Linked DNA regions of Ovis aries. The protein of the gene in region 1 purifies or fractionates together with the protein of each later gene. This does not show direct contact. Links are inferred from orthologs where the notes say so. Each region holds a gene or a part of one and is shown on either strand. Other genes may lie near its edges.

Region 1 (3,500 bases):
TAATGAGTGACTGGAGCTCGCCCCCAAGTCCAGGAGAGCAGGTACGCCCAGGCTAATGGGCAGTGGCTCACTGAACTGAGCAGAGCAGCCTTGACACCCAAGGGTAGACCACGGCTCCCCACAGGTAACAGGGACATGTAAGGTGGCCAGGTGGGATCAAGGTCCTGAGGAGCTCAGTGGCAGTGAAACCCCAAACAGCAACTCTACATGGGCAAAAGCGGGGGTTCTCTCCAACACAAAGAAGGGCCAGGACAAGGGGGTGTGCTTTCTGGCTAGTGGCCTCAGAGGCTGGGCCACTGGGCTGTAACCACAGACCACTAAGCAAAAGCATCCAACTGTAACCTTCAGGAAGGTGAGGTTTGGCCTGCAGATAAACTCAGCAGGTCACACCCGTAGGAAGGCAGGCTGAGGACCATGAACCTCCACAGCGGGGTGCCGGCTGTAACCTGGGACTCTATGACTCCACTAAACATCCTGGCCACTGCCCACTGCAGCCCCAGGCTTCTTCCCTGAAGGATGTTCAGCAGGACAGAAGCCCGTTGTCCCTCTCAGAGGCTGCTCAGAAGTAGACCTCCTTGTGGGGGAGGGGAGGGGCAGTGAGGTAAGGGAGAGGGGACTTTGAACTAAGTACGAGTCAGTGTTGGGGTGGCCGAGATACCCTTAGCTCCTCCAGAGCACAGGCGTGCATCAGATGGTGAGAAGCACTGCCAAGGGGCAGCACCCACAGGAGGCGCAGAGCCCGGCTGAGATATCCACACAGGAACAAGGACGGCAGTGGTCATCCAGCTCTACATCTGAGGGGAGCCTCCAGAAAGGATAGTCCATGGCCATGCTGGTCCTAAAAGGAGGGGCCAGGGACCCTCCAACCTGAATGGGGCAGCTCTGGCTGGGGCTGAACACCTCAGTGAGAGCCTCAACTCCAGGAGAGGACGTGAGCATGGAAAACAACCGACGACCAAGCCTAAGGTGGCACGAGATTTAGTGCAGACACTTCTCCAACACACACCATTTCGAAAACAGGTTGCACTCTAAGACCTCGATGGGGACTTCACCTTGGAACCCAAGCCACACTCTAGCTTCCAGGAACGCACACCGCCCAGCACAGTGGGTGACTGGCTGACGGGCTGGGCCTTTGGTCAGGCGCAGCGCTGTCTGGACTTGCAAAGGGGCTGAAAGGTGTGAGCCCAGCCACAGGCCAAGGCAGAGAGGCTCACTTCTTCCCTGGGATGCCAGTTTCTTACGAAGTTACTATCAGACTCCTGACTGCTAACACATAACAGAACCTTCCGTGTACGCCTTTAAAACACAGTGACAGGAAATGTTTTTAGTGTTATACTCCTCTGGATGCAATGAGGCTATTTTTAACCACCCTCTCAGACTTGATTTCCAATTTTATCCTATAAAGTTCTAATTCATTCCACCTCCCCTGATCTCTCACTTGACGAGGCTGTGAAGAACACGAGGCAGGCTGGGCGCTTTCTGACGGCTCTGCGGTGGGGAATGTTTTCTAAGTCTTTGCTTCTCCCCCTCGCAGCACAGGCCTTCTCTTCCAAGGCTCAGGGCGCTCAGGGATGTCAGTGTGATGCGCATACAGTCTCACCATCCCCACTAGTCACTGACGCCTGACATTTCCCCTCAAATGTCCATCCGGCAGTGGGTCCAAGCCGTGCCGTACTAGCTGGGATCCTGTGACACGTGGACCACGTGACGCCACGTGAAGGAGCTCTTAGAACTTAGCCTGGAGCCAGCGGTACAGAAGAGACACCATGCCACTTCACCCCCATCTCCATCAGAGATTCAAGGGTACTCTGCCTCCTTCCTACGCCCTCCCTCTACCTGTGAGCTGGCACAGGAGAGGGGTCTACACCCAAAGCCAAGATGGGCAGGAGCCTGAGGACCTTTACATCCTGCGGTCGCCCAGGCGCCACGCCACCTACATGCCTCACGCTGGCTGTGCTGGACTCTGCTCACTGCTTGGATGCGCTCGTGGTCCCCACCTCCACCCCCAGCCCAGGCCTGCAGGCATCCTGCTGCTCCCTGCGCAGAACTGCTCTTCTGCCCCAGGACGAGAGGCCCCCTGGGTATGCCCACGGTGCTGGCTGCCACCTCTCGCCAGGGCATTCTGCTTCACTGAAATCTCTGCACTGCACAGACCGCTGTCCATGAGCAGCCAGGTACATGTGTGCGCCTGGTGGAGGGGGGGCCACATGGGCCTCAGGGATGAGGGTGGTCAGTGCCGCAGCTAACATTTATGGAGCAGCTACCCAGGGGTAGGCACAGGTCCAACACTGCTTGCAGACTCATCGCCTTTAATTCTGACCACAAACAGGGCAGGCTTGGGACTTCCCTGGTGGTCCAGTGGCTAATACTCCGCACTTCCCAACGCAGGGGCCCTGGGTTCGATTCCTGGCCAGGGAACTAGATCCCACATGCCACAACTAAAGATCTTGCGTGCTGCAACTAAGACCTGCTGCCGCAAACAAATGAGACATGGCAAATGCGTGACAGACAAGCACGCTGGGACCTGGAGAGCCACACGGGTATCTCTAAGGCTGCTCGGAGGACAAGGAGCAGCGCCAGCTCAAACCCAGAGCCTGGCTGCCTCTTGGCGCCTTGACTCTCTGTGCACAGTTCTTGCATGTCCCCAGAGTGCCCACCCAGTGAAGACTCGAATGAACGGACAGTGCTTCTTTCAGAGCTCTGCTGCGGCCCAAGCCAGCACTGGGTGGGCACTCCCTGACAGGATTCAGTGTTGGTGATTTTGGGGTCCAATGGCTTGGTCAGGGATTGAATGGCTGGAGAGACAGGATCCCAGGGCAGGCACTGCCATTTCATTCATTTGGGCTGAAGAGTAAGTACACTATAATTATGTTTTTTTAAAAACCCAGGACTGGCAGGCCAACTTCAAATGGCCTGAATGCCAGGCCGAGTGCAGATGGGGGGAGTCACGTCACAGCCTACCTGGGTGAGGACGTCCAACTGGCCCACGATGTGCTCCAGCGTGCTGGTCAGCGACTGGGGCATGCTCACGGGCTCCTGGGATTGGCTCTGCATCGACTCCTGACTTCTGCCCCTGCCTGGCGGGACGAGGGGGTCCACTTCTGGCTGAAGACGATGAAAGGAAAGAGAGCCCTTTAGTCTTAAGGAAACAATGAGGAAAAGAAGAGCCCCTCAAAGGATCAAGGGGAAAATCACCAGCAAACTTGAGAAGACGAGTTCCAAATGTTGGTGAGCAAGGGCGGGACTCCACCTCTGGGCCCTCCTTTCCAAGTGGAGACTGAGAGCAAGGAGCAGAATCAAAGTAATTGGCAGTCCAGGCTGCAGGGCCCTGAGAGGGATATCAGGTTGGGCTCTTCGACGTCCTCATGAGAGGCCACAGGCTGCCAGCTCTTTACAAGACCTGTAACCTTCAGTGTGACGCCTCTCAGAGTCCAGGGCCCCTGAAGTCTATGCTGGACCCTGAAGTCACCCTTCCTCCTAGTTAGCCCAACGACCACTCC
Region 2 (4,080 bases), on another chromosome or scaffold:
TGTGGAATAGAGTAGGTAATGCAGTTGGCGAGGTGAGGGGCTTTAATAAAGGATGGCTTGCTTCCCTTCCCCGACTTTTTGCCCCTGGCATTTTACTTCTGCTAACAGTTATTAGTATGCCAAAGAAGGCCAGGTCAGCTCTTCTGGAGAAACAGAGCTGCCCAAAGGACACTGGCCCCCATCACTCACCTTTTCTGCCATGCCTTCTTCTCCTCCAACAAAGAAGTCTGTTTTGCGTCGAAGGAAGCTGAAGAAAGTGTTCACCAGCTGAAAGGAGACAAAGACAGAGGCTGGAGAGATGCCATATTGGGGGCCCTTCAACTGCACAGAAGCGAACTCTCTTAGGCTAGGAGGGAACCTGGGACTAGACTGTTTCACCCCTGGCCTCTCAACTGAGGACACATCCCCCTACAGGCCCAGGCTTTGTCACTCCTGCCAGGAAGCCTAAACTAACTTTACCCAGATCACCTGAAAGGCAGATTTCTCATTTCTTTTTATTTTTGGCTGCACAGGGTCTTCATTGTGACACACAGGCTTTCTCCAAGCTGTGGTGAGCAAGGGCTGCTCTTCATTGTGGTGCACAGGCTTCTCACTGCAGCAGCTTCTCTTGGGGAGCACAGACTCTCAGGCATGGACTCAGTAGCTGCGGCACACAGGCTTAACCTTAGGCACTCCATGACACGTGGGGCCTTCCCAGACAAGGGATCGAACCCATGTCCTCTGCACTGGCAGGCCGATTCTTAACCACTGGACCACCAGGAAGTCCCAGATTTCTCACTGTCTCGTGTGCACGTGTATATATACTTCACATTTTTTTGTGGTGCTGCAGGCAGCCTGAGGATATGGGCATCTAGGGTTTGAAACACTTGGGGCCCACCCTTCCTCTTCACATGGTAAAAAACCCATCCAGAGTGGCACTGGCTGAGTTACTAGGGCAGAGCTAGAAGAAAGGGAACAAATGAAGCCATTTGAAAGAAAGTTCAGACCAACTAATTATGGCTGGGTAGCCAAGTGGTTTAAGAACATCAGTCTGGGTATCAAGACTGACAGACATGAGCTCTGTGACCTTAGGAAAGTTTCTTAACTCCACAAAGGAGAAACAGCAGCAGGACCTATTTCCAGGGATATACGTGAGGATCCTTTGTGAGAACCAAAGGAAGTAAAGGGGGTGAGGTCCCTAGCAGTGTCTGGTCCAGAGCAACAGACACTCTGTGGGAGACTGAAGTACATATTGCATGCACCATGAACATCCTCAGCGCCCAGCACCAGACCTGACTCCGAGTACATGCTCAATAAACATTCTGATGAACGAAACGATCTAGTGGTGACCTAAGGTTAGCATCTACAACTAAGCCCTTTTATTTGCCCAAGAGAGTGGTTCTAAATCCGATGCTAGATTTTATCTCAATGGCTTCAATTCCTGCTTCTACACAATTTTTTCAGTTTGCTCAAAAATGAATACCCTCCAAATCCAGTTGTGTCAACAATTTGGGGAAGGGCGGGGAGAGGGAGCCTTTCACATCCTCAAATAGTACTCTTCCGACCTCAAAGGGCTTAGGAGTCCTTGGTCACCACGGGTACCCACCTGAATGAGAACCAGAATGGAAAGCTCCAAACTTTTATCCCAGAGAGACACAGAACCTGAAATGGTCTGTGGAAAGCACACACTGGCCTAAGGATGCTGGTCCCCTCCAGGTCAGGAGCCTGTTGGATGATCTTGGGCAAGTTCCTTCAGTGTCTTTAATAAGAAGACAGATCTTGACAGGCTTTTCTACCTTTTGAACTTTTCCATGGCTCAAAACAATTCCAGGACCTCTTCTAAGTTGGTCCTTATCCTTCACCCACTCTGTTACTGGGTCTGGTCACTATGCAGGAAATTATGTTCCTGCACACATCAATCATTCGAACAAATACCTGTTGACTGCCCAAGCCTGGTTACTGAGAATTCCTCGCTGTCCCTCCCTTCAAGACACTACTCTCCTACAAATTCAGGAAATATAAGGATTCCTAGCTGTGTCTCAAACAAAGAAACTGAGGCTGGGAGACGTCGAAGGGTCCCAAGTTGGTAGGTGCGCTGTAGAACAATCGTGAACATAGGCCTCCTGTTCCCCCATTCAAAGACCACGTGTTAATATCGCCTCCCACTCTCACATTCTTCCGCTAGCTGCAAGTCTCCGTACAGGCAAGTCGTAATGTTTAGAAAGATTCATCCCAAGGGATGCTCTTTGGGGGCGGCCACCAACGAAGAAACGGAGCCGAAAGCATGTGGCGGGGGCGAGGGGGGTGGTGGATAGGGGGGTAAATCCCCAAACTCTGGGGCTTTTCCGGAGGCGGGTGCAGCGACGCCGGAGCTGCAAAGGCAGAAACTACTGAGAGGTCTCAGGGGGGACCAGGCCTGGTACGAGTGAAAGCCCTGGTACGACTAGGCCAGACCGGAAGCTCGAGTGCAGTAAGAATGTGGAGGGGAATCCCAGAGCCCGCGAGGCCCAGGGGTGTATCTCGGCTTCTCGAAGGCAGAGAAGGACGGAGAGAGCGTGGCTGGGGCCTTCCCCCGGATAGGCCGGGCCCAGCCAAGTCCGCGCGGGCCGTTACCTCCTGCACGCCGCCCTCGTGCTGCTGCGCCATGGCCAGCAACATGCCGTCGAACCGATCTTCCTCCTGCTCCCCGCCCATCGTGCCAGCTGCTAACCACGCTCCGAAACCCGAGCTCCGCACTGGCGTCCCGCGCTCCCCGACCCTTCGGATCGCGTCCGGTCCAACGGCTCCAGTCCTCCGCCTTCCGCAGCGGAGCCGGAAACACGCAGGCGCCGCGCCGCCCAGGCCCACCCGCTCACTCTCACGTCCCGCCCCGCTTCGAGCCTGCGGCCATTGACCACGGGGCAGATAGCCCGCTTTGTCGGCCATTGGTCGACCTGCTGAGCCAATCAAAGAGCGCGTTCCTGAAGCGGTGGGCGGAACGGAAGGTCCCAGAGTTTGGTGTGAGTTGCTATGGTCACCAGACGCTTTTTGGAGCCTTCCAGAAAGGTCTGGGCACAAATCCGGCTAGGTTGGAACTGAAAAAAAGGCACAGACTTTGTTCTTACGCCTTGGCCGTGACTTCCCAGCTTGTAGAAGGGTGAAGTGGGAAATGTTCTTAGTTATCTACTCTAACGCTCCCATGAGTCAATCGAGACCCCAAAAAAGGAGAATGGACTCGCGCAGAGAGCGGTCTACCTCCGTCATCATCACATGCTCTATATAAATTGTGCAGTCGCAGGGGCCCCGGACTTAGAAGGACTCTGTGATTGGATTAATCCTCTTCTGCTGCAATCTGAAATTTTTGAACAAGAGAGCCCACATTGTCATTTTGCACTGGTCCCGGCAAATTATGTAATGAATGATGTGTTCAACCTCACTTCTGTTAATGTGTGGGACAGGTGCCAGTCATCGAAGGCCAACCACTTTACTTTTTCATTGAATTTCATCTTCTTAGTCTCTTCAGGGATTCTACTCTTGTTATTATTCTTTTCTAAATCTCCTGAATCACAATTTTCTTTCTTCTGGATTATCCCCTTCAACTCACATTTAACTCCACTTCTATTGTATGCTCCCACTTTCTCTTCCTACTACCCCAATTTTCAATTCTCTTTCACACCAAAACTTGAAAAGATTGGTATACGTGTTTCTCCACTTGATCGCTTTCCATGACTTGCCAGGGGCGGTGGCCTGGAGGAGCAACCCCACGTCCAAGGAGCGGTGGCTGCCCTGGCACAGGAGGGCCTAGAGGAGCTATTCCACCTTCAAGGTCAGGAGGGGCAGCGGTGAGGAGATACCCCTTGTCCAAGGTAAACAGCAGCGGCTGCGCTTTGCTGGAGCAGCCATGAAGAGATACCCCACGTCCAAGGTAAGAGAAACCCAAGTAAGATGGTAGGTGTTGCAAGAGGGCATCAGAGGGCAAACACACTGAAACGATAATCACAGAAAACTAGTCAATCTAATCACACTAGGACTACAGCCTTGTCTAACTCAATGAAACTAAGCCATGCCCATGGGGCCACCCAAGACAGGCAGGTCATGGTGGAGAGGTCTGACAGAATGTGG

What was found. Proteins that work in one complex are often made in the same cells at the same time.
Region 2: the proteins of POC1A (region 1) and NUDC purify together in Homo sapiens (co-immunoprecipitation; 3 studies listed by BioGRID and IntAct, with this or other methods). This does not show direct contact. The link is inferred for Ovis aries from reciprocal best matches to the Homo sapiens genes POC1A and NUDC.

What each region holds. Positions count from the first base shown.
Region 1 is NC_056072.1:48,858,058-48,861,557, reverse strand, and holds part of POC1A (POC1 centriolar protein homolog A), read right to left. Parts: intron 3,106-3,500; coding exon 2,962-3,105; intron 1-2,961.
Region 2 is NC_056055.1:240,012,559-240,016,638, forward strand, and holds the start of NUDC (nuclear migration protein nudC), read right to left. Parts: upstream 2,801-4,080; 5' UTR 2,674-2,800; coding exon 2,593-2,673; intron 268-2,592; coding exon 190-267; intron 1-189. UniProt on the Homo sapiens protein: Plays a role in neurogenesis and neuronal migration. Necessary for correct formation of mitotic spindles and chromosome separation during mitosis. Necessary for cytokinesis and cell proliferation.